4 linked regions of the Alligator mississippiensis genome follow. The main gene of each other region encodes a partner of the protein of the gene in region 2 in a complex. Links are inferred from orthologs where the notes say so. Each region holds a gene or a part of one and is shown on either strand. Other genes may lie near its edges. The genes, in order: CWC27, SRRM2, SNRNP200 and RBMX2.

Region 1 (7,390 bases), on a different chromosome or scaffold from region 2:
GTTTTTATACAGCTATAAAGTTATAGCCATAGGTGCTGAGAATGTACAGGCCTGAGGGCCCTGGCTACCCTCAGGAAGAGGGCTGTCGGGGCCCAAACCTGAAGATTACATAATGCTTCTCCTTTAAAGGAGAAAAACATGAGAACAGGGTTTATCTTTGTAGGGTGCAAGGAGCTGCTTGGGGCAGGGGGGGGCAGGGAGGGCTATAGGTGGAAGGGGGTGACACAAGCACATGATAGCTAAGCAGTGGTGAAGAGCAGCTTCCTCCAGGTAAGTCTATGGGGGCGAGTGATGAGGGGGCACAGGTGACATGTTGGGAAGGGTGGAGGCGCACAGGCGATGCAGTACAGAGGGGCAAGGGGACCAGAGTGATGTGGCAGGGAAGAGGGGGAGCACAGGCAATGTGGAGGAGAGGGGCAGGGGAGCACAGGCAATGCATCAGGGGAGCGAGGGAACACAGGCAATGTGGTAGAGAGGAGTCGGGGGATGGGGAAGGTGACACAGCGGGGGGCATGTGACTCCCAAGATTTCTGCACCCACAGCAGGACATGGGGCACAGGGCTGCAGCCAGGGTGGACCAGCTCCAGGTAGGAGCTGCCTCTGTGGCCCAGCAGGCAGGACCCAGCGCAGGACAGAGCACCATGGCCACCAAGGTGAGGTGTGGAAGTGGCATGGAATTGTGCTCCTGCTGCTGCTGGAGCCAGAGGGTGTCTTACCTTGGAGGCCAGGGCAGTGTGGTGCTCCCTCCTGTACTGGGTCCTGCCCACTGAGCCCCTGAAGCGGATCCTGCCCAAGGCTGGTCTGGCCAGGCTGCAGCCCCATACCCTGCTTTGCGCACAGGAATCTGGTGGGAGGCACATGGTCCCTCCCACCCCCTCACACATTACCTGTGCCCACAACCCCCCTTTCCCACATACCTGCCCCATTCCTCACATACTGGGGGCTGGCACACATCCATCATCTTGGCCACCCCCTACCCTAGGCAAAAATGAAAGTTGGCGCCTATGGTTACAGTGTTCTTAAACTTGACAGAAGTGCATGGTTTGGAGAGGAAGCGGGGAAAGGTCTCTGAATCTCACTGCACTTTCCAGGTTATGGGGGCAGGGGGCACTCTGTAGCCTCCTCAGTCTTCTCTACTGGTCAAAAATTTGACCAGTATACAGAATTTTTTTAAAACACTGTAAAGCTAAAATGCTGTAAAATACAGTGCTTCAAATGTAATAACTCATTTAACAAGGGGTAATTTAAAGTGATGTATCCATTTTTAAAGTACTGTAAATCCATACACTTCTATTAAGTCATGGCCAGGCATCCTGGTTTTCTGTTTAAAAGCTGCAGACTCTCTGATCAAAAAAAACCCCAAATCCATGTTTTTCCGTGGTTAAAATTAAACACCACTCACACTCTCTCTCTATATATATATATAGGTGAGAGAGAGAGAGAGAGAGAGAGAATCAGTTGAACACAATGTTTTACATTTACAATGTAAAAGCAATTTGGAAGCCTACCAGTGCCTCAATCACTATAATAAATAAATTCTAAATACCTATAAATTTTGGCACTTGATTTTGGGTTTTTTTATCATGGAAAAATCAGAGCTCCCCCTGCCTCCTTTGCTCACCAGGATGCAAGTCCAGCTGTGGCTGTTCCCCACACTGCTTTGAGGCGTGGAGCTGCACTGACATGCCAGTGTCCTGCCCATGCCATTGCCCCTCCCTCCCAAGCCACAGTCGCACCAACCCTGCCGGTGTCACTCACTCCCAACCTACAGCCCCCTGCCTGCACCCAGTCCTGCCAGAGGGGGTCCCCGGCTGCTAGGGCTACAGGGACAGGAACCCGGATCTGCAGTTACCTTCCCTCCCCCAGCAGCACCCAAGCCCCAGCTGCCACCTGTGGAGCACAGCTGGAGTGGAGCCTGTGGTGGGGGCAGATGCAGGATGCCTGCTGTAGGCTTGGGGCTCTCTGCCCTGCTGCCCTTCCCCCACGGTCCAGCAGGTGGGACCCCACACAGCAAGGCAGAGTGGGGTGGGGAGGCTTGGTGTCACAGCTGGGAGCCTCGCATTGCCATGATGAGGTGCCTCCTGTCCCAGCCCCCCAGATGCAGCACCAAGCCTCCCTGCCCTACTCTGCCGCGCCAGGTCCCACCTGCTGAGACGCAGAGGCCACAGGGGAAGGGCAGCAAGAAGCCCACATCCACTTCTGCCCTGCGCACAAATCTGGAGGACATGTGGGCAGCAGTGGAAAGCCAGGCCCCTTGCTGCCCGCCAAATGAACCGCCTGCAGCTCCATCCCACTCTCTGCCCAAACTCTGTGCCCACACATTTCGGTCCCAGGCCCCATCCTAGCTGGGCAGCAACTCCAGCCCCACTCCTTCCTCCCTCACTAGGGGAGCCTCAATCCCTCCCTCCTTCCACCCAGGCTTATCCCCCTGTCATGGCAATAAAGCGCTTTAAGTGGTGAAAAAAAATAACTTTTATACACACCCCTTGGTTCCATTCCAGCAGGTAGCCCATGCATAGAGCTTTATAATTGTCCTGCTGCTTTGAGCTAACACACCTTGTCCACTAGCTCACACAGACATATAACCCAGTCTTCTGGGATTCAAACCCTGCAAACAATTCAATTCAGGGTGCTGTCATGTTAGATATGGCCACTAGAAAAAGGAATATATAAGGCCAGCAAAGCCCAAACCAATTATAAAAGGCTGCTGAAAGTTTAAATTTTCTGTATGAGTTTTTACTGAACTCGGGATTACTCTGCATCGTGATTGTGGCCAATACTTCCACTCAGCAGCAATTTCACTGATGGCAGAACGAGCTTGATTTGTTATGAAGCAATAAACTCCTCTTCCTTGTTGTGGTGGAGAGGCTTGCGTGCCCTGATGATCCTGAGAATGATGCTGTCTGGACAGCCTTTTTGGTAGGGTATCCTATGGCATTAAGGTCAAAGGTGAGGTTTCAGACAAATAGCGACCCAACCCCAATAACTAGGGCAGGTGGAACTCTTTACCCCTGGTCTGGGAACCTACCTAGGAGAAGGATACTCCAAAACTAAACCTACAGCCTGGAGATCTCTCTACAGCTGTCCTAGTTCACCAGGCACATGAGTTTCAGGCCTAAAGAGCGGGGCCAGTCAGTACAAACTGTACTCCACTTTAAAGCTCCACACACAGGCAGGAAGAAAACAAGTCGCCCAATAAACTAGCATGGAAACATTTTTAAAACCACAGCATATCCCTTACAAAGCCCTGCTTGGCAATTAAAACTTCTTTCCTTGACGGGTGGGGTATTCTGTAGATCTGGGAAAATTTGCTTTCTGAAAGTGACTTACAGTTCACTTTGTGAATGTTTTTGATGCTGTTGCCTGACTGCTTAACTGAGCTGAAACATCACCAGAAAATAATCTAGAGTGCATACTACGCCCGTTGGTCATCTAGTCCAACCCCTGCCTGACAGGCAGGATCCTCCCTACCCAAACCATCCTGTACAAACCCACATCTAAACTGTGCATGCACAAGCCTGAGCTCAACCCTGACACACCACGGCCCTCACACCCTCACCTACCCCAGGCAGAGCAGGGGACGCAGCAACCCATGTCTGGCTGCTGTACAAGGGGGTCAGCGTACGCTCAGGAGACCCTGGGAGAGGGCCAGGCCGGGCAGAGGAAGGCAATGCCCCACTTCGGGTTGCCAACTTTGTTTGAATCTATTCCAGGAGGTTTCCTCACGTGATGTAGTGACATTAATGATCAGTCTACTGTACTGCACTCAGGAAGGCAAATGCATATTACTATTACATTAAAAAAAAAAAAACCCCATGGGCCTAAACTGGATGCAACATTTAATGTTTATTTTAAAGAACGCCCTATTACTTGTCTCCCGGGTGACTCTCAGCAGTCTCCTGGAGATTGTATCCAATTCCTGGAGGCTCCCGGGCGATCCTGGAGGGTTGGCAACCCTACGCCCCACAGGTGGGGACAACTCCCCGCACCCTGCGCGGAGGGGGAGTCCCCGCATCCAGGAGCCTGGGCTGCGACCTGGCCCCGGTTGCGGGCAGGGCGCTCCCAGCCCGGCCGGGGGACTAGGACACGGGGAAGGGGCCGCCACCCGCTGCCCACAAACAAGGTGCCCACCTGGCAGCGCCATCCTCCTCCTCCGCCTGCTCGGGCCGCGTTGTTCCGGGCCGGGGCTGAGCGCGACGCGCCGTGGGCCGCACCACTCGCCCAGGCGGGGGGGGGGGAAAGGGAGGCGCGGGGGCGGCCCGAGGGGAGCAGCTGCGAGGCCTAGGAGTGCGAGATGGGGGTAGCGCGCCGCCCTACCCAGGCGGCCTGCGACCCCATCACAACCGCATTATCCCCCGCGCCCCCCGCCCCCCGCAGCTGAGTGGTACGGCCCAACATGGCGGGCGACGCGCGGAGCTAGGCGGGCCCGTGGGGGAAGGGGCGCGGCGCGGCCGGATCGCGGCGGGGGCAGCATGAGTAACATCTACATCCAGGAGCCGCCTACGCACGGCAAGGTGCGGCCGGGGCCGGGGCCGGGGCCGGGGCCGGGGGCGAAGAGCAGCGGGGAATGGCCGTGTCGTTCTTCTCGAGGGCGGCTGCGCCACTCTGGGGAAACGAGGAGCCGGGGCCGGATCCGTCCCGTGGGCGCTGTCGTCCGGGATACCCGGTCCCTGCTTCCACATCCCCGTGCGGGCCCAGTCCTGCGGTGTGCTGGGCCGGGGCCGGGGCACAGGGCTGGTCCCAGGCTGGGGTGAGGCCTGGGCCCGGCTACTCCGCGTGGGACCGACGGGGTGGGCGGCTCTGTTTGAAGCTGAGGTTTCATCACGTGATGCAGTGCATTAATGACTGCTCTGCTGTACCGCGCTCAGGAAGGCAAATGTACCATTGCATTTTAAAAACTCACTGGACTACTGTATACATTAGATTCACCATTTAATATTTATTTTAATGAATGCTGTATTATTTATCTCCCAGGTGACTCTTAGCAGTCTCCTGGAGATGTATATCTGACTCCTGGAGACTGCAGGGCAATCCCGGAGGGTTGGCCACTCTAGGGTCCGAACGTGGGAGGCCAGAAGGTGGGTGCCTTGCACGGAGATGGGCAGTGGCTAGCACAGGATATGCAGTCACATGAGATGCTGCGAACCATCTGTCAGGTCATCAGCCCTGGGGCATGCATACCCCTAGGGGTACTTAGAGAGGTCATAGAGGATACTCACGGGCAGGCAAGGACGGAGCGCGCCCCAGGGCACAGCAGGGGCATCCCCTCCAGCGCGCTCCCACATGTTCCCTCTTACCTGAGGGACCGGGTGGCCCCACGCACACTGCAGCACCTCACCCCAGCGCAGTCTCCTGATTGGCTGCTACCCTCAGCCAATAGCTGATGGCAGGAAAGTGCTGCGGACACCTCCTGCCTGCAGAGCTGCAAGGCACAAAGGGCCTGAATGGCGGGGGTGTGGGGAAGTGTGTTTCTGTGCCTGCTCCCAGGGGCAGGGCTGGGGCGGGAGGGCGAGGGCAGCAGCGCCTCTGATGATGGATGTGCGCAGGGCTGTCCTTTGGGTAGGGCAAATCAGGGGCGACCGCCCCAGGCCTCATGCTTGGGGGGGGCCCCGCAGAGCTGGGCAGAATGGCCACAGCCCCTCCCATGGGGCCCGCCTGGAGCTGGCAGCTCAGCCCCACGCCGCAGAAGAAGTATCTAGCTGCTTGCCACCCCGCTATCCTCCCGCAGCACGTCACCAGCTTTGCATCTGCTGAAGAGCGGCTTGTCGGGGCACATGAGATCTGCTTGGCCCCTGGGCACCAAATTTCATTGCCTTTGTGGGGGTCCCATGACCCCATGCCATGTTAAAGGGGCCCCACACAGGCTGATTTGCCCTGGGCCCTGCATCCCCTAGGGTTGGCTCGATGTGGGGCGGGGGCACTTGCATGCGGTGGCCACCACCCCATGCCGCCACCTCCCAGGAGCAGGTCCAGAGAGGGCAAGGGCAGCAGTGCACATCTGCGGGCCGCACAGGTGCAGCCTGGCTGGCCGGACGCAGGGGATGGGGGAGCTCACACACCACTGCCACCCACCACCACACGCCACTGCTATGCGCAGCTTTTCTATGGATGTGTGGCTCCATGGGGTGCTGACAGGCGGTGCACGATTGGCCGGGCGCAAGGCCTATCAGCAGCCCTCAGAGCCACATGTCCGACTGGCTGTGGGAGAGCGGGGCACAGTGGCAACACGGGGTGGTGGGTAGTGGCAGCAGCCTCCACATGCGAGCCCAGCCCTCCCCCGCCCCATTTCTAGCCGCTGCCACCAGAAGGGGTGCACTAGTTAAAAAAGTTTGAAAAAAACCTCAGATCTATGTCATAGGCTGCAATATCTACCATCTGTCATAGACGGAAAGATGCCAAAAGAAAAGAAGTAGAGGATGTTGATAAAAAGCATGGATTTGCAACATTTTGCCATTACAAGCTTCTGCTGGCAACCCAGCTCTCTGCTGTGACCCACAAATCTGTGTTTGCTGGTGATCAGCAGGTGCTACGGAGGGAATATGGAACAGGGCAGGGGTTACAAGCCTGTGGATGCCTCCACTGCTGCCGTAGCACAAGTGTAATGTCAGTGCCCTGAGCCATAGGTTGCCAACCCCTTGTATAATGAGATAAAATGATGCACACAAGTGTCACATGCCAAGTCACCAATGATAAATTCTTATCACATGCTTTAATTCAGAGCTATATCTTGTGTATCAGCACCACTTTGAGGGGAGAAAAGTCGACAGCCAGTATGTTATGGCTGCTGTTGCTGCTGCAAATCCAAACCGATCTTCCACTTCTGCCTCTGCATTTCTCAGATTGGAGAAGGAAAATATTTTTTCATTCAAACTATGGTGTGATTTGATCAGAGACTTCATCTGCAAATGTTCAGTTGCAGTATATTTTGCATGTTAAAAATACATGTACTTGTTCTGAGGTCCTGTTTAGAGTCTTGGATTTAAGGTAAAAGAGGAAAACAGCAAGGAGGATGGTCCTGGTGGGTATCTACAATAGCTAAGGTATATGTCCTGTTTTGGCCAGGACAGTCCCCAATTTCATGGGCTGTCCCTGCCAGTTGCCTAAAATAGAAGCAGAAGTCTAGGATTAGAGGCAGCACCCTGCCTACACATACCTGGTGCTGTTCCTCCTGAGCAGTTTCTGGAGGCTGCAGGGGTGCGCTGAGCATGGTATCTGACCTGACCCTCCTGCCTAGTGTGGGGATGGGCTGAGGTGAGGCGGGGGCTCAGGAACAGCACCAGGGAAGGGGGCTGGGGCTCAGGAACATGTATAAGGTAAACCGGCATGGCCACCAGCAGCCTCATGTTCTGCTGCTGCCAAGGTCTGGGCTTCATGTGGCGGCCCCAGGTGG
Region 2 (7,957 bases):
ACTTGGGGTAAAAATGGGGAATTCGGACAATTATTTTTAGACTGGAACACTTTGGGGGCAAAAACAGGGAAAAGCAGCCAATGTGGTTCCAATTTGAGTAATTTTAGGGTGAAATGGGGAAAAAGGGGCGAATTTGTGTTGAATTAGATCAACTGTGGGGCAAAAGAGAAGCAATTTGGTCATTTTCAGATCATCTTCGGTCATAAAGGTGGGAAGTATTTGAATTGGGCCCAAAATGGCCAAACTCCTGATTTTCTTCATTTTACCCCAAATAGTTCAAATTGGATCCACATCCAGCCCCAGTTGGGGCCAAAATATGGAAAGAATTGGCCAATTTTCATCCATTTCTGAGCTATTTGTGGGCAAAAAGGAAGAAATCGGCCAGTTTGGGTCCAGATTAAGCCATTTTGGGGCAATGGGAAAAACTGGCCAGTTTGGGGGCCAAAAGGTGGGAAATTAGCTAATCTCGATCCAGTCTAAAGAATTTGGAGTAAAAAATGGGGACATTGGCTAAAATGGCTCGAATTCCAACCCTTTCCCCTTTTAGGCCTTGAACTAGACTGAAACAGGCCAGTTTTGACCCAAAATTGTTCTAATTTGACACACATGGGCCAATCTCCCCCATTTTGGCCCCAAGAATGCCTCAAAAATGAACCTAGAACTGGCCAATTCTGGTTCACTTCTGAGCATTTTGGGGGCCAAAATAGAGAAAATGGGTCAATTTGGGTCTAATTCAACCCATATTGGGGGCAAATGGAGAGATCTGGCCTCTTGCAGTCTCTCTTGAGCTTTCTGGAGGCAAAAAGTGCAAAATAGACTCTTTTGGGTCTATTTTTAGCCATCTAGGGAAAAAAACCAAAGAAATTGGCCAATTTGGGGCCAATTCGAGCAGGTTTGGGGGCAAAAATGGGCCATTTGGGAGCAAAAGTGAGGGATTTGGCCCATCTGAATCCATCATGAGCCATTTTGGGGCCAAAAGAATGAGGAAATTAGCCCCTTTCCCTGGTTTTCCTTCCCCAGGTTTTGCTTGCTTCCCCACTCTGGTCCCAGCCAATCATTAACAAGACCTCATTAACCCGGTTACAAACTCCTGCAAGAGCGTTTCAGGCTGGACGTAAGGAAGAATTTCTTCCCTGTCCAAGCCCCGCGGTCTGGGGCAGCCTGCCATCGGGGGTGGTGCAAGCACCGGCTCTGAACGCCTTCAAGAGAAATGTGCATGCTTATCTCGCCGGGATCCCGTGACCCCAGCGGAGTTCCTGGCCCCGGGGCGGGGGCGGGACTCCATGATCCTCCGGGCTCCCTCCCCACCCGAATGTCTATGAAATCTATGAAACCCGTGACCCCAGGTGACCTGCACACATATATCTGTACTCGCATACACACGCACCCATAGGTATCCATGTGTGTCTGCACACATGTTCACACATGTACCTATAGGAACCCCCTGTTCTCGTATGTACGCACATACTCACGTTTCTGTGTGCATTTGCACACATGCATATCTGTACTCACATGTTCCTATGTGTACACACATACCCATAGGTACCCATGTGTGCCTGTACTCATGTACATGCATACTTGTGTTTCAACGTGCACCTGCACACATGTATATCTGTATTTATGTGTTCCCACATGTACACACATACCCTGAGGTACCCATGTGTCTGTAAACATGTTTGCACACATATCCATAGGACCCCATTTGCACCTATACGCATATGTACACACGTACTCATGTTTCCATGTGCCCCTGCACACATGTACATGTGTACTTAAGTGCGCACACATACCAATAGGTATCCATGTGTGCCTGTACACGTGTTTGCACATGTACCCATATAACCCTATAGGCTGGGGAACACCCTTCTTGTCAACGTGGTGACAGAAGGGGATCTTGGAGTCATTGTTGACTCTAGGATGAACATGAGCCAGCAATGCGAGGAAGCTAACCGCACCTACAGATGCAGCTCAAGCAGGTCCAGGGAGGTGATCCTCCCACTCTATGCGACGCTGGTCAGGCCGCAGTTGGAGTACTGCGAGGCGCCGCACTTTGGGAGGGATGTGGCTAACCTTGAGAGGGTCCAGAGGAGGCCACCCGCACGGTCAGGGGACAGCAGGGCAGGCCCTACAAGGAGAGGCGACGGGACCTGAACCTCTTCAGCCTCCGCAAGAGAAGGCTGAGAGGGGATCTGGTGGCCATCTACAAACTCACCAGCGGGAATTGGGGGAGGCTCTGTTCCCCCAGCTCCTCCCGGGGTTACTAGGACTAACGGGCACAAGTTAGAGAGCAGGTTCAGGCTGGACATCAGGAGACATGACTTTACGGTGAGGGCTGCCAGGCTCTGGACTGGGCTCCCAAGGGAGGCGGTGCTCTCCCCTGCCTCGGGGGTCTTCCAGAGGAGGCTGGACAGATATTTGGATGGGGTGATATGACCCTGGCACCCGTTCCTGCCCGGGGCAGGGGGTCAGACCTGATGATCCGTTTAGGTCCCTCCCGACCCTAAGCACTATACTATGACCCCATGCGCACCTATACTCATATGTATACATGTACTCATATTTCTGTGTGCACCTGCACACATGTATATTTGTGTTTATGAGTTCTCATGTGTATGCCATAGGCACCCATGGGTGTCTGTACATGTGTTTGCACACGTGCCTGTAGAAAGTCACATGTGCCTGTACTCATAGAATCAGAGACCGTGTGGGCTGGAAGGGAGCTCAGGAGGTCACATCTAGTGCAACCCCTGCTCCAAGCGGGACCAGCCCCAACTCCATCATCCCAGCCAAGGCTTCATCCACCCTTGAAGGTCTTCAACACCGCCAAGGACGGAGATCCCATAATCCCTCTTGGCAGCCCATTCCAGCACTTTCCCACCTTCCTTGTCAGAGAGTTTTTCCTAATATCCAACCTCAACTTGCTTTGCTGCAGCCTGAGCCCATTGCTCCTTGTCCTGTCATCTGGCACTACAGGTCACGTGTACAAGCGCCTACTGAGAACAGTCCAGCTCCATCCCCTTTGCAACCACCCTGCAGGCCGCTATTCAGTTCCACCCCCCCCCTCGGTCTTCTCTTCTGCAGCCTCAATGCACCCATTTCCCTCAGCATCTCCTCACACATCATGTCCCCCAGCTCCCCAATGATTTTTGCTGGACTCTCCCTAGTGCTTTCTGCAGTGGGGCCCACAGCTGGACCCAGCACTCCAGATGTGGCCTCCCCAGTGCTGAATAGAGGGGGAGAATCTCTGACCTCCACCTCCTGGCAATAATTAGCCCTGCTCGTTAGCAACCAGGATACCCTATTGGCTTCTATCCAGCTTCTTGCCCCTGTGTCCCAGCACACGGGATTGTCCTGTCCTAAGTCCAAAAATACAGTTGCTAACAGACATATTTGGAGTATACGTAGCACAGAGAGTGACAGGTTAATAACGAGGCATTAATTACCTGCTCTTAATTGTCAGCTGTGTTGTGGCTGTGCTAATGTATATCATTATTAAATGGTATATATACAGCATGTGCATGAGTTACATGTGAGCTGTTTTATGTGTCACAGGCTCTTCACTCGCGTGGGGTCAGATACCCACTTCCAAGTCTCCGTTCCATGTTCTCTGGATGCTCGGTATGACAGGTAACACTCGTGCTATTGTGTGTTGTGACGTGACATGGGTATTACACGTGTCATATATGGCACATGCTATTGTGTGTTATTGCGTCATGGGTATTGCATGCATGCATGTCATGTATGTCACACTATTGTGTTTCATTACATGGCATGGGTATTGCATGTCATATCCAGCACACACTATTGTGTGTGTCATGGGTAGTACATGTATGCATGTCATACAGCACATGTGCTGTTCCATGATATGTCATAGGTATTGCATGCATGTGTGTCATATACAGTGCATACTATTGTGTTCTTACATGTCATGGGTGTTACAGGGCTGTCATATACAGTACATGCTACTGTGTGTTATGTCATAGGTATCACATGCATGTGCGTGTCCTATAGGGTACCTGTGCTATTGTGTGTTATTACGTGTCATGGGTGTTATATGTATGCACGTTGTACAGTATATATACATATGTATATGAATGCACGTGTTGTACAGCACACGGGCTATTCTGTGTTATGTCATAGGTATTGCATACATGTGTGGCATATCTAGATCACGTGCCATTGTGTATTATTACATCACAGGTATTAAATGTGTGTCATATATGGCATGTGCTATCGTGTGTTATTACATCAGGCATTACATGTATGCGTGTATACTATAGGATGCACATACTATTTTCTGTTCTGGCTCATGGGTACTACATGCATGTGGCACATACAGCATATGCTATGGCGGGTTATTACGTCATAAATTTTACATGAAAGTTTAACATGTGTACAAGTCACCAATGGTATACATACTATTGTATGTTATTACAACACAGGTATGGCATGCAGGTGTGTGTTAGACATGTCATGGGCGTGAGATGCATACACGTGCTATGACGTACTTTGCTGTCGTAGCTAGGCCATACTCGCGCGTGCACACGCTACCCGCTCCCCCCGGTCCCTACCCCTACGTGTCCGTGCACGCACACGTGCACACGCAGCTCGACACGTGCGCAGGCCGCGGCCGCCTGCGCAGGCGCACACGGGTCGGACTACATTTCCCAGCGTCCCTTCCCCCGCCAAGATGGCGACCGCTTAGTCCCTCCCACTCATGCGCACAGGACGGGGGCCGACTCCCCAGTGAGGGGACGCGGGGAGCCAGGCCCGGTGCGCATGTGCGCAGCGCTAATCGCCCCCCGCCAGCCTCTGAGGCGCGTGCGCTCCAGGCAGGAGGAGGCCGAAGCGCATGCGCACCGTGGCCTCCCCGACCGGCGCCATTTTGGACTCCGTTGCCCGGCCTGCCCCGCGCGGGGCTTTTCCGGCCCCGCCCCGCGCCGCCCGCGGTCCGCCATCTTCCCGGCCTGCCCCGCGCCGGCCCCAGGCTCCAGCCTCTAGGCCCAGCGTCGCGGAGCGGAGCGGCCTGGTCCGGCCCGGGCCCGGTGAGGGGGGAGGGGGCGTCTGGGAATGAGGGGGGGCTCCTGCGTGGGGGGGAGGAGGGAGGGGGCGTGGAGGGGTGTTGTAGGGGAGAGAGGTCGTGGGGGGCGCGGGGCCGTGGGAAAGGGGTAGTGGGGGCGGTGTTTTGGGCTGGGGGAGGGGCCGTGGAGGTGTTTTGGGGTGGGGGCGGGGTCGTGAGGGGTGTTTTGGGCTGGGGGAGGGGCCGAGGGGGAATCTTTTAGGGGGGAGGGAACGGGGCGGGTGTTTGGGGGCGGGGTCGTGGGGGAATCTTTTAGGGGGGGGCCCGGGGGGTGTTTTGGGGGAGAAGGGTCACGGGGGGGGTGTTCTGTGGGGGAGGGGCTGTGGGGGGCAGGGGCGTGAGCTGAGAGAGGGGGAGTCCTGGGAGGCAAGGGGGAGACATAATGGGGGGAGGGGCTGAGGCCAGCCCCACCCTGGGGAGGAGGTTTGAGGCATGGGGCATTGGAGGGGGCTGGGGGGGTAGGCGGGCAGGTGCTCTGGGAAGGGGGTGGGGCTCCTGGACGTGCCTGGGTTCTTACCCCCCGCCCCCCCGCAGGTCTGGCCGCCCCCCTCCCCCCGGCGGCGCCATGTACAATGGCATAGGGCTGCCCACGCCCCGGGGCAGCGGCACCAACGGCTACGTCCAGCGCAACCTGTCGGCCGTGCGGCACCGGCGGGAGCGGGCTGAGGACGAGGGCGCCCGGGCCGAGCCCGCCTTGCTGAAGCGGCCCAACCAGGACATCCTGGACCATGAGCGCAAGCGCAAGGTGGAGCTGAAGTGCCTCGAGCTGGCTGAGCTCATGGAGGAGCAGGGGTGAGGCTGCTGCCGGGCAGGGCTTGGGTAGGGGCAGTTGGGAAGGTTGTGGGGAGGTCTTTGGGGTAATTATGGGGGTAGGGCTTTGGGCATGGGGTAGCTGGGAAGATTGGGGGGGAGGCCTAGGGGGAGGTGTGGGGGCTGTGGGCAGAGCCAAAGGTGGGCAGCTGGGAAGGTTCGGGGGGGGGGTGTCATGGGGGTGGGGCTTGGGCATGGAGCCAGAGGTATGGGGTAGCTGGGAAGGCTGTAGGGAGGTGTTTGGGGTCTGTGTGGGTGCAGGGCTTGGGGGCAGAGCCAGAGGCACGGGGTGGGGGGTTACTGAGGATTTTGGAGTATGTGTGGGGGTAGGGCCAGGGGTGGGAGATAGGTGGCAGGTTTATAGAGAGGTTGCTGAGGCCTTTGTGGCAGGATGGGGGGGGGCAGAGTCAAGGCATGGGGTAGCTAGGAAAGTTATGTGGAGGTCTCAGGCTGCTGAAGTGGGGTTGGGGGTGGAGCCTGGGAGTAGGGGTGGAGCCAGGGCCTTGGTCAGCTAGGAAGCGCATAGGGACCTTTCTGGGGCATTTGGAACAGGGCTAGGGGCGGGGCTTGGGGGCAGAGCCAGGGGCACTGCGTAAGTGGGCAAGCCATAGTAAGTTCCTGAGACTTCTGGGGCAGGGTTGGCGTGGAGCCGGGGTGGGGGCGGAGCCAGGGTACGGGGTAGCAGAGATGCTTGTAGGGGTGTCTGGGGCTGTTGAGGCTGTTAGGGGTCGAGTTTGCAGGTCAAGGGGCAGAGCCAGGGCACAGGGCAGGTGGGAGTCACAGGAACATATACAGAGGCAATGAAGTAGGTTTGGAGGTGGGGCTTAGGCTTGGGGGTGGAGTCATGGGGGGGTTGGCAAGGCCCCGTTCCCCACTGAAGCCCCGTCCCCAGGTACACGGAGGGGGAGATCCAGGAGAAGGTGGCCACCTTCCGCCTCATGTTGCTGGAGAAGGACATTGGGGGCAAGGACATCGACACCCCTGAGGGGCGCCCCACGTGAGTGACCCCTGATCTCTCACCCCCCATGGCAGTGCCCCTCACTCCTTATCCACAGCACCACCCCCACCACCAGCAATGCCCCTCACTCCTGACCTGCAGCTCCCCCCAGTGGTGCCCCTCCCTCCCAACCAACAGCAACCCCCTTCACCCCTCCACAGCAGTGCCCCTCACTCCTGACCTGCAGCCCCCTCCAGTGGTGCCCCTCGCCCCGACTCCTGACCCACAGCCCCCCTGGCGAGCAGTGCTCCTTGCTTCCAATCATCCCATGGCACTGGAGGGGTTTAAAGCAGGTTGGGGGAATCTGGGAGCCTGGACACCTGGGTCCTCTGGGCTGGGGGACGACAGTAATGGGTGCTGGGTACCTGGATCCAACACCCCCGCCCCCCCTCCTGCAGGGTGACGGAGACCCACCAGCTAGCCGAGGCAACGGAGCGTAAGAACGAGCGACTCCGCGCCGCCTTCGGCATCAGCGACTCCTACGTGGACGGCAGCTCCTTTGACCCCCAGCGCCGGGCACGCCCTGCTCCCCGTCCGCCTGACCCCGTCCCGCCCCACAGGTACCTGGGGATGTGCTGCACACCTGGGTTCTCTTTGGGATGGGGGGTTTTGGTGGGGGGGCCTGGAAACTTAGATTGTATGTGTTTGCATTTGCACCGGACACCTGGGTTCTTTGTTGGGACGGGGTTGGGGGTTGTGCCTTTGTGTGACCCAGATGCCTGGGTTCTCTGGGTGCGTGTCCCAGATGCCTGGGTTGCATGTTTGACTCTCTCTCTCTCCCCCCCCCCCCGCCCCAGCCTGGTGCGAGAGTCCAGCAGCTCCCGGTCTCCGTCCCCCAAGCAAAAGAAGAAGAAAAAGAAGAAAGACAGAGGGAGGTGGGTACCTGGACACCCGGGTTCTCTGGGGTGGGAGAGTAGGGGTCTGGATCCTTGGGTTTTCATCATGCCCTCCCCCTGTTGCTGCTAGGTCAGAGAGCCGGTCACCCTCACGCCGAGAGAGGAAGAAAAGCTCCAAGAAGAAGAAACACCGGTGAGAGCCTCTTGGGGTGGTGGCAGGGTTTGGAGGGGCAG
Region 3 (6,953 bases), about 9.6 Mb from region 2:
CCCACTGCATCCATGGGCAAACTGGGGGGAGGAGAGTAGATTAGCTATGGGTACTAGTCCTCCTCCCTCCTGCCTGCCATGTAACCTTACTGCTTAGGTTAGCTGGTAATGCATTACTGGTAAACACACTTCTCATTTAAATGTTTAACCTTTCACATCCTGAGTTCCAACTCTAGCTAGAGATATGAACTTGGGCCTTGGAGTCACCGTCAGCCAAGCTCCAAAAGGCCAGATTTTGGTTCATGAATCTGAAAAAGACATACTTTTAATTGTAATGACTCCAGGGATAACGAGGCAACATCTCTGGATTATGTTTTGGCCAAGTCTGCTGTGGCTTTTATATGAAACAACAAAGGAATGCATATTTTACTCAAGTCACCTTTGGTTTTGCTTTGATTGTAAACTGAATCACATTGTGCCAAGCCCTGGGTACATTAGCAAAGCTTCTAGCTTTCTTGTTATCAGGTGGAAAACAGCTGTTGTGTTTTATGTGTTGACAAGGCATCGCACCACTTGCACCCCCTTTTCAAAACTCTGCATCTGCCCAGGGTGGACCATCAAGACCATTCATAGTTTCATTGCTGGTAGGGTCAGAAAGGACCTGAGCAGATCATCCAGTCCAACCCCCTGCCATGGGCAGGAAAAAGTACTGGGGTCAAACGATCCTAGCAAGGTGTTCGTCTAACCTTCTCTTAAAGACCCCCAGGGTAGGAGCCAGCACCACTTTGATTGGAAGTTGGTTCCAGGTCCAAGCCTCCATGACTGTAAAGTAGCGCCTCCTGATGTCTAGTCTGAATCTACACTCTGCCAGCTTGTGACCAGTATTTCTAGTCACTCCTGGGAGTGCTTGGGGGACCAGAGACTCCCCCAATACCTGCTGGTCCCCTCTGACTAGTTTGTAAATGGCCACTAGATCCCCCCTCAGCCTTCTCTTGTGGAGGCTGAACAGGTTCAGGTCCCTCAGCCTCTTCTCGTAGGGCCTGCCCTGCTGCCCCCTGATCATACGGGTGGCCCTCCTCTGGACCCTCTCCATATTGTCCACATCCCTTCTGAAGTGCGGCGCCCAGAACTGGATGCAGTACTCCAACTGCGGCCTGACCAGTGCCACATAGAGGGGGAGGATCACCTCCTTGAACCTGCTTGAGATGCATGTGTGGATGCATGGCAAGGTGTGGTTGGCCTTCCTGACCGTGTCTCCACACTGTCGGCCCATGTTCATTTTGGAATCAATAACGACTCCAAGATCTTTTTCTGCCTCTGCACTGACAAGAAGGGAGTTCCCCAGCCTGTAGGTATGCTGCTGGTTCTCCCTCCCCAGGTGCAGCACCCTGCACTTGTCAAGTGTTGAAACCCATCCTGTTCTCATCCGCCCACCCCTGTAACCTGTCTAGGTCCAATTGCAGCCTATTCCTCCCTACTAGCGTGCCCACATCCCCCCACACTTTAGCATCATCAGCAAATTTGAACAGGGTGCTTTTCACCCGCTCGTCCAAGTCACTGATGAAGATGTTGAACAGCACGGGTCTGAGGACCAAGCCCTGGGGGACCCCACTGCCCACATCCCTCCAGGTCAAAAATGACCCGTCTACCACCACTCTCTGGGTGTGACCCTCCAGCCAGTTAGTGACCCATTTGACTGTGTAGGTGTCGACACCACAGTCCTTTGGTTTTTTAATGACAATGGGGTGAGAGACGGTGTCAAAGGCCTTCCTAAATTCCAGAAAGACTACATCCACCGCAACACCTGCATCTAAGGATTTTGTGACCTGGTCATATAAGGCCACCAGGTTGGTCTGACAGGACCTGCCTCTAATGAACCCGTGTTGGTTGCCCCTAAACCTAATCTCCCCTGCTGGCCCCTAGTGGGCATGCACCAGGATAACTCTCTCAAAAAGCTTACCCAGGATCGAGGTAAGACTAACTGGCCTATAGTTTCCTGGGTCCTCCTTCCCCCTTTTTTTGAAAATGGGAACCACATTGGCCCTTTTCCAGTCCTCTGGCATCACACCAGAGCACCACGAGTGCTCGTAAAGCCGTGCCAGGGGTCCTGCAATGACCTCTGCTAATTCCCTCAGCGCTCTGGGGTGGAGGTCGTCAGGACCTGCTGATTTATACAAATCCAGCCCCTCCAGAAGTTCCCTGACTAGATCCTCTCTGACCCTAGGCCTGGGTGCACCTCCCCCCGAGGCCTGAGGGGGTCCTGGCAGATGGGCTGACTTGGTCCCTACTCAGGAAAATGGAGGCAAAGAAATCGTTAAATAGGTTAGCCTTGTCGTCTGGTGTGATGACCAGATTTCCTAGCGTGTCTTGCAGAGGCCCCATGTCACCCAGTACCTTCTTTTTGCCCCCTATGTATTTAAAAAAGGACTTCTTGTTGTCCTTGATCCGGGTCGCTAGTCCCAGCTCCATCTCCGCTTTGGCCTTCCTGACCGCCCCCCTGCAGCCCCGAGAAACCGAGGTATAGTCCTCCCTGGTGACGGCCCCTCCCTTCCATTGGGTGTACACTTTCTTTCTAGCTACGAGACGTTCCCAGATGCTTTTGGCGAGCCATGGGGGAGAAACAGTCACGTGGGTGGAGCAGAGAGATCAGGACGAATCAGGGCGATAATAAGGAGCCAGGAAATCAGTCAACTCCCTCAGCGCCACCTGGAGAGTAATGCCGCTGCCAGGACACAGGGTTAAAGCAGGAGTGCTCAGCTCCCGGCCCACAGGCTGGATGCCGCCAACGGACGCCAGCAGGACCCAATATTTGAGGGGGGGGGGGCGGCAGTGGCAACCACTTGTTCCTTCTCTGCTGTCAAAAAAGGGTTGGGAGAGAAAGGAAGGGGAGAGCATGGCATTGTGCACTGGACTGAGCACCTGGGCCCTGATGCTAGCGCCCCAATCCCAGCAATGTGGGGGCCTAATCCCGGCGCACGGACCAGGCCCGATCCTAGCACGTGGACTGGCCCCGATCCTGGCGGCACGGGGGCCCCAGTGGCTCAGTCCGCGGACAAGGGCGCGGCGTCAGGGTCGATGCTGGCGCCATGGGGACCCGCACCCACCTCCGCAGCTCCTCCTCCTGGATCCGCCGCTCCTCCCACACGAAAACGCCAGCCAGCGCGGCCAGCAGGCGGCGGGCGCCGTGTCCGGGGCGGCCCTGACCGCGGCGCCACAGCCCGGGCGTTAGGTCGCGTCGGGCCCTGGCCCTCGAGGCGGCGGGCGGGCCCGGGCTGGGCCGCAGGCGGCGGGGGGCCCAAACGGCCAGGAAGCGGCGGGGCAGCAGCTGCAGCGCGGCCACGGCTGGGCCCCAGTAGCGCGCCCACATCCCTCCGATGCGCAGCGTACGGCCCCTCCGCGCGCCGGCCCCGCTCTTGCTCCTGCGGCGCCGGGCAGGCCGCGCCCCCAATCCCAGGCCCGCCCCCGCTGGGAGACCATTGGAAAGCGGCTGGGAGCAACCCTCCGGGTCCCGCCCCTGCCGGGCTCTGATTGGATTGCGTCTACTTGTGCTGTCCCCGCCGGGAGGTCAGTTGAGCGACTCGCCGGTGATAGGCTGCACCTCTACCACTTCTGCGGGTCCCGTTCCCGCTGGGCGCTGATTGGAAGGTGACTGGCTGCTGGCTAAACTGCGCCGCCAATAGTCCTCCGAGCCCTGTCCCCGCCGGACGCTGATTGGAGCGCAGTGCCGCCGTCGTAGCTGTCAACAGGCTAGGCTGCGCGCGGTCGCCTAAGAGCGCCTTACAGGCAGGAAAGACCGCGGTCTTCGCTCCACCCCCCGAGGGGTGCCCTGCGTAGTGCCTGCCGCTACACAACACCCCTGAGAGCCGGGTCCCCTTTGCCTACGCTGAAAGCAAACAAACTACACCGGGGTCCTTCCGCTGCCCACCGCCCGAGGCTACATCCAGGTCTCAGCCCTGCAGAGGAGGGAGGGAGTGCTTCCGGGACACGCGGAAACACACCGGAAGTCCTTCCCCGGAAGTGCTTGGTGGCGCGGTGGTGCGTATTGCTAGGCCGCGGGCTTGTGAGGCGGCGGCGCCTGAGGAGCTGCCATGGCGGACGTGACCGCACGGAGCCTGCAGTACGAGTACAAAGCGGTGAGTCCCGTGGGGTGCTGGAGGCCGTTGCCAGGATCGGGGCCGGTCGCGCCAGGCCTCGTGCTGCCGGGATCGGGGCTCGTCCAGGGGCTGGGGCACGGGGCGGGGCGGGCTGTGTGTTTCCACCCGTTGCTCTGAGGCCTCCGTCGCACGGTGCCGACATCATGCAGCTTGGGGAAAACTGCCCCTGCCGTCCTCCTCTCACCCGAGTCGCAGAGCAGCGGGGCTGACGGGAACCTCAGTCCGTCCAGAAGGTGTGGTCCAGCCCCGCCTGCGGCAGGCACCGCCTGTTCAAACCACCCCAGACAGATTCGTCTTCTAAACTCAACCTAAGGCCAACACCGGCCCTGAAACAACCCAGACCTAACACCTCACCCTGCCACAGAGGAAACAGGAACCAGAGCAGCCAAGGTCCTGCTGCTGTAACCCTTAACATTGTTAATATTCCCCCCAGTGCCCCACCTGCTCCAGAGGAAGGCAGCCCCTGCGCCCCTCCCCAACCAGTCCTTACCAGTCTGACAGGGGAGGGGGGGAATTCCTTCCTAACCTCACTGCAGCGCCATCAGTCTGACTCTGAGTGAAGGGTCAAGACCTGGGTTTGAGTCCCAGCAGCGTTGGCATAGCCCAGTCACCATCCCCAGCCTGGGCTGCAGCCAACTTCTCTGAGGGAATCTTAAAGCCCCCCTGATTTCTGTAGCAGAAAGTGAGGGGCATCCAGCACAGCCTAGGAAATCCTCGTAGGAGAGCACAGGCATCACTATGCCAAGATCATCCTCGCCCTGTGGCTATATGAATTCTCCTTCAACTCCTCCAGCAATGGGGAGCCCGCACCTCCCCTAAGCACAGGCATCGCTACACCTAGATCATCCCCAACCAGTGACTGTCCTCCCTCTCCTGAAACTCCTCCAGTGATGGAGAGTCCACAGCTCCCCTGGGCAGTCTGCAAACAATCCACCTTTGGAGCAGATGACAGATACAGGGGTGACTGTGGAGGGAAATTTGGAGTGCGGGAGAGATTCACTGCTCACTGAACTAATGCACTGTGTTGCAGCTCCCTCACTTTCTGGTGCAAGTGTGTTTGAGTAGCTGTGGCACCTGCTGCACATTAGATAGTGCAGAGGTCTCTTGCTCTCAAGCTACTTGTGCTGAAGTCAAATAGGGAGGGAACAGCTTCTCTGAGGCTAAACTCCTACGCTGCAACTGTAACTCCAAGCAAAGCTTTTCCATTAATGCCCTTCAGGTATTAGAAGGGGTCCTCCAGGAAGGTAAGAGCCAGGGTGGATTGATTTAAATCAAAGCAATTTAAATCACCAAGAGAAAACTCTATCAAGTTTCCCAGTGATACTTCTTCACATATTTCTTAAACAATGGGACAAATTTGATCACTAAAACATGTCAATTTACAAATCAGTACAGCATTTTACAACATCTGTCCTTAAACTCTCTCTCTTAATTTTCACATTTTATTAACTCTAACAGACAAGTCATCACAACACTAAATGTATGCTGTCCTTAAAACTTCTACAGCTAGGTCTCATCTTCCCCACTCCCACTGCCATTTTTATTCATAGACTGAAACCGAAATACAAGTGTTCCTGCTTTTTCAACTCCCAGTTGACTTCTTAGCTTCTTTGAGTGAATAATACCAAACAATGAAAATATCCTCTCTATGCCTGCGGAGGAAACTACTGCTGTGAAAAGTTGGCTTAGCAACTGAAGGAACTCTATCTCAAGGTGCCTGGCTAATGATTTCCACCAATTCAGGGGAGTGACTTTGTTCAAAACATCATCAGTAAACCATGTACTATTTAAATGGTTCCCCCCCAGCCCTGAAATTTATTATGACTGGCATAACTGAGGAGTGATTTTGAGATGCCCATGCCAAGGCAGCAGCATCTTCAAAAGTTAGGCATCTACCTTTATATCTGGGGTTGAGAATGTTGGCAAGAACATGAGGTGGAGTTGGTGCTTGATCCATTTGCTTCTTTACTGCCTTCAGTTTAACTTTCTGGTTAGGTATTTCTTTTTTTAATGTCTCTTGAAGTGCCTTCCAAATTTCAACAGCATCAGCAATGCAGCAACAACCTCTCTGAAGTTTGTTTAAGGCTATGGATGTAGGCTTCAGTATATTGAGCATATCCTCTACATTCCTCCTTAATCCAATGTAAACAGATCAGTTCTTAATACATTGTTCAACACAATGAACCACAGAATTCCATTGAACATCTTGAGAGAGAGTGAGTTTGGATCCTCCTGCTCTCTTCAGTGAAGCTGAAGCCAAATGCTTGGTACAGAAGTACTTTATGACTTCAACAACATTTTCTTTTATTTCTGAAGAAGTACTTAAGTCTTTGGCTAAAAGATGCATTAAATGGACACTGTAGCCGTATGTTATTAAGGAGCATCCTTCCGTTTCTTCTTCTAAGTATCTTCTCATTTTTGCCAACTTTGCAGCATTATCACTGACAACTGTGCATGTGACAGTTGAATTTTTGTTCACAGTTTATTACAGCTTTCACTGCCACTTCTTTTAAATGTTCTGCTGTGTGGGCATTTCCCAATGTATCTATTGTTTCTGAAACATATGCAGCCTGTTGAGGGATCACCACATAAGGACGTGGCCTTTGACATCCTGATGACATTCACCTGTCTGTGGTTGTCAGGAATGCCTTGACTAGCTAGTCAGACTCTAGTCTCCACCTAATTCTCGCCTGCCATGACTTGATGGAATGTTCTTTTGGGAGGTGATGTTGTTTTCACGAGTTTGATTATAGTGCAAGGTGCCCTCCAAGTGGGGCTCCAACCTCCCCTTTCACCCCAGCCGTACACCTACCAGTTCTTACCATGGTATCGGGTATAATCCAGAATATGTGCATGTGG
Region 4 (6,840 bases), on a different chromosome or scaffold from region 2:
CAGGGCATGGATCTACCCACAACATGTACAACCTGCCATCTGGTCCAGGTGAAATCTGCCCTACCTCCTGATACCCTTGCCTTTGTCAATCAGGTCCCAAGTGGCTCCCCACTCCACCACCTGAGCTGGAGGACACCAAATTGGTCCGCTTTTCCACTGTCCACCTCTATACTCTTGGGCACCACACTGTCCATCATGCTGCCCTCACACCAAGTGGTGGGACCTGCTCGGCGAGGGCGTGGCTGGGGTGTCTGTACTCCACCCTCATCCCACGAGCCACCGAGGACCCCAGCTGGCAGCTCCTCCATGGAGCTGTTGCCACAGGCGTGTATGTAGTGAGCTTCACAGACACCCATCTCCTGCCTCTTCTGCAGGCAGAGGGAGACCCTGGTGCACATGACCCTTGAATGCGCAAGGCTGCAGCCCCTCCACCTCCAGAACCTCCTCTTGAGGTTCTGGTTAAATTTCACCCCCCACCTTTTTGTTTTTGGTCACTCCATCTGTGGCCTCACCAAGTCCTGGGATCTCCTGGGCAACCTCCTCCTGACCCTGGCCAAGTGGGCCCTGTTTTTGACCAGGAAGGAAGCTCTGGCTGGCAAGGTGCCTGGAGATTGCAGGGCTGCTTTTCTGTCACTTGTCTGTGCATGTTTCCAGGCAGAGCACCAGTGGGCAGCGTCCAGCGGCTCCTTGGATGCCTTTGAAGACCAGTGAGCGTGGCCTGGGGGGCTCTGCTCAGTGTTCTCCTCCGGAGAACTTTTCACATTTTAAACCTATGACCCCCCCACGTCACTCCTACCCTTTTCTTCCTTGGTTGTCCCACCAAAAAAAAAAAAAAAAAATCAGTTGCATCTTTCAAACTTAGCCCCCACTACTGTGTGGGGCCAATTAGTTAACTAGATGGGCCCTAAGGCCCATGATCTCTGGAAGATACAAATAGACGGGAGCATCTGAGACCCAGCCAGTTGGTATCTGGGGACACTAGCCCCTTGTGCCACCTGGACTGATGAAGCAGCCCTAACCTAGAGTGGCCCCTGCACTCTCTCTACCCACTGCAGCAGTCAGGCAATGGGGACTGAGACCTGCTGCCACTTGTGACAGCATTCTGCCCCATGGCTGCATGCCTGCCAGACCAAGAGGGGGACTGCATGGCCACCTGGTCTGTGGTATGGGCACCGCAGCAGAGCCTCCTGCGCTTCTGGGCCAGCTGCCAGTGGGCTGTCTGAGCAGTGCCACCTGCAGGCCAACTGTGATCATGTCTTCTGGTGTTCCTGCTCTATCACCTGGGCAGCTATCACCCAGATGTACTCCTTGCAGTGGCCCACTTTGAACTGTCAAAGCATGCACTCCTGGCTCCAAATGACCAGGTCACCCACCTCGTCTGCCCTCCAGCTGTGTCCCTGGTGCTGACCCTGGGCAGGCTCCTCTGCCTGGGTCTCGCCACTTGTCTTACCTGCAGAAATCCTGTTCCCAGTTTAAAAATGGCAAATTCTCTGATTAAACCCCCCCAAATTCTCTCATTAAAATACCCAAATTCTGTGTTCTTCACAACTGAAATGAAATGCTAATATGTATAGAGAGATTAGTTGAGCAATATTTTATTGATATATTTACAATTATAAAGCAATTTGGAAGCCTACCAGTGCCGCTATCATTATAATTGAAATTCTAAATATCTATAAACTTTGGCATTTGCTTTTGGGTTTTTTTAATGTAGAAAAATCAGAGCTGCCTCTGCCCCCTGCATTCACCAAGATGTGGGGCACTGAGCAGCACTGATATGCCAGTGCCCTGACCCTGCCCTTGCCCCTCGCTCTTAATCCACAGCCCCCTACCCCACAGTCCCATCACTTCCTTGATCTGCAGTCCCTGCTTGCCCCCACTAGCTTCCCCATGCCATTCCTGGGAATCCCTCAACTGGGGCTCGGGGACTGGGCTAGTCAAGGCCCTTCCCTTCCAGGCTGGCCTCCCCCTGCACAGGGTGATCTAGGAGGGCAGGGGGGTGCTAAGCCTAGCTCTGGTGGCCTCTCCTACCCAGAGTGCTCCCTCACCCCTGACCCCCATATATATCTCTCTCATATACACCCATGCTGCCACCTCCACCCCTTCCCCCACAGCCCATCACACCTCCTAAGTAGTTACTGGGGCCACATGTCCTATCACTGGTGTGGGCACGAGGCAAGGCTGCAGTGTGGTAGTTGCCCCTGCAGCCATGGCTCCTGCCAGTGGATTCTGTCCCATCCTCTGTGGCCGGCTGGGTGTACAGGGTGTGAGATTTGTTGGGGGGGGGGGGGGGAAGGGGTTGTGGATGGATATGGGGCTTGTGTAGGAGTTTGGGGTATGTGGGTGAGGAGTTTGTGGGGAGACTTTGTGGGGGTGGGAGGCACTGCTTGGGAGGGGTGAGTCCCCTGCCCACTTACTGCAGGGTGCACAGTCCCAACCTGCAGCAGCCATCGGGCACTCAGGCCCAGCCCAGTGCTGTGCACCTTTGGGCAGCACCAGGCTGCTCTGGCTGTCACCTGGGGTCCTGGCACTGCATGCAGGGGCCGTACATTGTGCTGGGCTGGGCCGGGCCCTGCCTCCAAGTACCCCGTGCCCTGTCAGGCTGGGTTGGCTCCATGGAGACGGGACCTGGCCCAGCCCCTGTATGCAGTGCTGGGACCCCAGGTGAAAGACAGAGTGGCTTGATGCTGCCCGAAGGCACGTGCAGCACAGGCAGCGCTGGGTCTGAAGGGGCCAGGGCTGTGCTGCACCCGAGGGCTCTGCTAGCAGCAGGCCCTGAGCACTCAATGGCTGTGTGCCCTGTGGGAACAGGCCCACATAGTTACCTCCCCCACCACCAATCTCCCCACACCTTCCCCATCCCACCCCACATCACTACTTACCTAGGATGGCATCTGGGTCATACTGCAGCCTTGCCCTGCTCCTATTTGCCCCACCATGCTGAAGGGAAGGGGGCAGCCATAGAGACACTCTGGCTAGATGTCAGAGCCTGCTCCTGTTCCCCCCCCCCCTTTTTTTTTTTTTTTTTTTTGATCCCTGGATTCCAGGAATCACATTTAGGGCCTGTGCTGAAAAGATGCAGTATGGGGAACATTTTTTGATCCCAGCATTCCTCTCGCAGCATCTCACACTGCCTTGAGGCGCCTCAACAGGCACGTATGTGCTCACCTGGACATGACCCTAGACAGCAGTGGGCAATTATTTCAGGCAGTTTTGGTTTACTGAGTTTTGGCAAGCCATCAAGGGCCACATGACAGGTAGCCGGGGCAGATAAATATTAATTTTCTACATTTTTTTAGGGTCCCCGCGGGCCGGATAGAATGGTCTGGCGGGCTGCATTTTGCCCACCCCTGCCTCAGAGTCTTGTATGAAGCACTGGCTCGGGGTCTGAGAAACAGACTATGGCTTGTCAGTCTCCTCCCAAGAGGCAAGCACGGGCTCAGAAGCACAGCTTCAACCCGCCCTTCCCCTCCCGCTCGCCCCGTGTCTTTGAGGCCGTGGCGTGTGGCGCTGTCAGCGCAAAACCGAGCCCCTCACGACTCTTCCGCTGCTTCTGCCCTCGGGGCCTGGCGCCCCGCCTCGGCCCGGCCGGCCGGCGCCGGGCGCTGCGCTCCAGCGCGGCGGCTTCTCTCCGCCCGGCGCAGATGCTGCCCGGTCCGGCGCGGCGGGAACGGCCCCGCCTCGGCAGTCTCTAACCCCGGCCGCCTGGGCCGCGGCTCAGCCCCGCTGCGGGGTGGCCAGGGCGTGTTTTGCAGCCATCGTCTGGCCACAGCGGCGCCAGCGCCCGAGACGCGAGACCGTCCCGCGGGGCCGCCCGCGCTGCGCGAGAGCTCGGGCCAGGCAGCCCTCGCGGGAGGGAGCCCAAGGCGTGAGCAGTGCAGCGCATGTGCACGCACGTCGGCGCAGACGCAGTGACCAGCAGCAATCGACATGAAGTAAGTAATGGCTGCGGCGGCGGCGCTGGGGTGGTTGCCGGGCGGGGTAGCGGTAGGGGCCGGGGCCGGGGCCGGGCGCCGCAGGGTTCCGTGGTGAGGGCGGGCGCGGCGGGATGCGGGGCCCTGACATGGAGCCGCTCACCCTGCCGCAGCGCCCTGACCAAGGTGAAGCTGATCAACGAGCTGAACGAGCGGGAGGCGGCGCTGGGCGTGCGCGAGGCGGTGTCGTGGCATGCGGAATACAAGGACAGCGCCTGGGTCTTCGTCGGTACGAACGTGCGTGATGCGAGCGGGGGGCCGGGCCGGGCCGGGCGGCCGAGGGCTGCTTCCGGGAAGAGGGGACTGCCCGAGGTTCCCAGTGCCTGCGGGCCGCTCCCGGTGTCCATCCCCCTCGGGCTCCACCTGGCGCTGTTGCTCACCTGCGGCCTCCGCCCTTCAGAGGGGAGCAGTCTCCTGGCTTCTGCACAGCAGAGTCGACCTCAGTGCACCAGGCTCTGGGTATACAAGTCCCTTAAGCAGCTACAGCCCCAGCACCCTAACTAGCTTGTCTGTCTCCCCAATCGTAATTCATCCAGTCCTCATATTTCCTCCCTCACCAGTGTCCCCTCCCGCTGTTCTTTTCCATTTCTTTTCAGTATAAACTTTTTCTGCCAACCCATTCCTAGCATCTGACAAAGCAGGTGGTTGCCTGTGAAAATTTGTGCCTCTCTGAACCAATTAGCACAGGGAGCAGAAAGCGGAGCAGCTATTTGCCTCTGTGTTGCCTTTCCCCTCCCTGATCTATCTGTTGCCACGTACACAAGGTTCCCATGCTATTGTTTCTGGGGTGTAGATTGTAGCTGTGTTATTCTAAGGACATGGGCAGACAGAGCTGTTCCTAGTGGTGTGTGAGGCCCAGAGCATATCAGCCTGGGCGGGTGGGGGGCTGGTGAGCAGCTGGAGGCGGTGGCAGCAGAGCCAGGGGTGCTCAGCTGCATGGCGGCCGCGGAGGGGCCTGTGCGGCACTGACTCCAGGGCCCCCCAAAGCGTGGGCTCTGGGGCGGTCACCCTGATTTGACCCCGCCCCTAAGGACGACGCTGTTGGCAGACAAGGTTCTTTGGGTAAAGGTAAATCCAATATCTTTTATTACACCAACTCACATAGCTGGAAAAATTCTTCTTAGCAAGCTTTCCGGCACAAACCCCTTCACCAGGCTGAGGAAGCATCTGCAGATGGTTTGTGCTCTTCCTGGATGGAGTGGTAAAGCAGCCAGAGGTCAGTATTTATCTCAGAAAACCAGTGAGTTAAAATATAAATTGAGTTGGTCAGCAGGTGAGACAAATGGGGCGGAGGGGAAGGGGGAATGAATTCCGAACCTATACAGAAAATTCTCAAACAATTGCAACCCATACTAGAAGGAGACCTAATTCTCAAAAAGATCTCATAACCACCCATCCTATCCTTTAAACAAGCACCAAACCTTGCCATCCTCATCACCAGAAGCAAGCTTCCTATGACCCTGTTGCCTTGTGGGGTCAGGCCAACTCTCAGGATCTCAATATTGCGCTGTTAGACAGGAGGGTGTGACACAATTGCACATGTACAAACACACAAATCAATTAGGTGTGTACATACACGCACACTACCAGCTCAGGCACATACACATCCAAACCAGCCTAGGCACATGCATACCTATCACCAAGTACATATACTATACACCCCAAAAGTTAGACACAGATCACTAATTTGTATATCATGCACACAATGACATATATACACACACACACACTCGCCAGTTCATACACATACAACCCACCTACACATACAGGTAAGTTCCTAATTTGGATGGTACAGTGTATATGTGTGTGCTTGGGGTACCTGGGATACTTGGGGGAAGGTTCAGGTGAGAGAGAGAGAGAGAATTAAAGTGTAGGGAGTGAAAGTTGCCAGAACCAGGATTATAACCAGTGGACTATAGAGAAGCTGGCTGAGGAACTGAGGCTTGGGTTTACTTAAGGTAGACTGGGGCTGGAAACTGAGGCAGACACCTGAGATATTGTGGGGGGGGGGAGATAAGTGGTGGCAAGGAGGAGACAGCCAGGAAAGAAACTGAGGCAGAAACCTGGTTGCTCAGGGGAAAAGGAAAAGACAGTGGAGATAAGACAGTGGCAAAGAAACAGGGGGTTTGGAGGCAGAGAGGAGCTCAGGACAGGTGTTGGAGGTGGCAGTGAGCCAGAAGCAGGAGAGGGAGAAATGAGAGAAGTTAGAGGGGTGAGGAGCAGAGATTGGAGCAGGGCCAAACCACAGTAAAGCAAAACCCAACTCAGGGGTCCAAATAACAGGTTTATTAAACAGACAACACACTACACAGCCCCATGAAGTTATTGGTTCACACACAAGAAACTCAGTGGAAGGTTTGGAGTCCAGGTGGGGAAGAAAAGCAGGGTCCAAGTCCTTGGTTGAAGAGAGGGTGGGCATGATAGCTACCTATCCAGGCTGGAAAGGGGTCTTTGTCCAGTAGGTGTTGTCCAGAGGGGGGTTGCCGGCAGGGTGAGTGGCATGGTGCTGGTTCAAATGGAGAGGGCGTCCCAAGGAGTCAGTCTTCACTGCCCCTTTTTATGGGGCAGACTACTTCTGATCTCCTGTGGGAGGGCCTGTCCAGGCAATGCCAGTCCTGTTCCAGAGGGCTCCAGGTGTTCTTACTGAGCATGTGCAGCCTGGCACAATGGTGGGTTGCCTCATCTTTTGTTTCTTGAATGCTGAGGGTGGTTCCAAGGGCTGGGTCCTTGGTCCAGGTATTGGTGTTGATGGTTCAGTCATTCAGGGGGAGCTATTTTTAGACCCACTGCCATTGTTTCTCAAGCACCCTCATTCATCCCCATTCATTCAGGAACCAAGTTACATAGGTGGGGTAGGTGTATGTCA

What was found.
Region 1: SRRM2 (region 2) and CWC27 share a complex: the UniProt entries of both Homo sapiens proteins name them as parts of the minor spliceosome. The link is inferred for Alligator mississippiensis from reciprocal best matches to the Homo sapiens genes SRRM2 and CWC27.
Region 3: SRRM2 (region 2) and SNRNP200 share a complex: the UniProt entries of both Homo sapiens proteins name them as parts of the minor spliceosome. The link is inferred for Alligator mississippiensis from reciprocal best matches to the Homo sapiens genes SRRM2 and SNRNP200.
Region 4: SRRM2 (region 2) and RBMX2 share a complex: the UniProt entries of both Homo sapiens proteins name them as parts of the minor spliceosome. The link is inferred for Alligator mississippiensis from reciprocal best matches to the Homo sapiens genes SRRM2 and RBMX2.

What each region holds. Positions count from the first base shown.
Region 1 is NC_081826.1:261,519,807-261,527,196, reverse strand, and holds the start of CWC27 (spliceosome-associated protein CWC27 homolog), read left to right. Parts: upstream 1-4,390; 5' UTR 4,391-4,472; coding exon 4,473-4,514; intron 4,515-7,390. Other genes in the region: protein SREK1IP1, read right to left, coding at 4,132-4,144. UniProt on the Homo sapiens protein: As part of the spliceosome, plays a role in pre-mRNA splicing. Probable inactive PPIase with no peptidyl-prolyl cis-trans isomerase activity. As a component of the minor spliceosome, involved in the splicing of U12-type introns in pre-mRNAs.
Region 2 is NC_081830.1:700,616-708,572, reverse strand, and holds the start of SRRM2 (serine/arginine repetitive matrix protein 2), read left to right. Parts: upstream 1-4,942; 5' UTR 4,943-5,045; intron 5,046-5,614; 5' UTR 5,615-5,645; coding exon 5,646-5,872; intron 5,873-6,782; coding exon 6,783-6,887; intron 6,888-7,285; coding exon 7,286-7,447; intron 7,448-7,684; coding exon 7,685-7,762; intron 7,763-7,853; coding exon 7,854-7,916; intron 7,917-7,957. UniProt on the Homo sapiens protein: Required for pre-mRNA splicing as component of the spliceosome. As a component of the minor spliceosome, involved in the splicing of U12-type introns in pre-mRNAs.
Region 3 is NC_081830.1:10,327,541-10,334,493, forward strand, and holds the start of SNRNP200 (U5 small nuclear ribonucleoprotein 200 kDa helicase), read left to right. Parts: upstream 1-3,937; 5' UTR 3,938-4,028; coding exon 4,029-4,073; intron 4,074-6,953. Other genes in the region: STARD7 (stAR-related lipid transfer protein 7, mitochondrial), read right to left, coding at 3,045-3,307. UniProt on the Homo sapiens protein: Catalyzes the ATP-dependent unwinding of U4/U6 RNA duplices, an essential step in the assembly of a catalytically active spliceosome. Plays a role in pre-mRNA splicing as a core component of precatalytic, catalytic and postcatalytic spliceosomal complexes.
Region 4 is NC_081831.1:40,216,233-40,223,072, forward strand, and holds the start of RBMX2 (RNA-binding motif protein, X-linked 2), read left to right. Parts: upstream 1-3,822; 5' UTR 3,823-3,884; coding exon 3,885-3,935; intron 3,936-4,087; coding exon 4,088-4,211; intron 4,212-6,840. UniProt on the Homo sapiens protein: Involved in pre-mRNA splicing as component of the activated spliceosome. As a component of the minor spliceosome, involved in the splicing of U12-type introns in pre-mRNAs.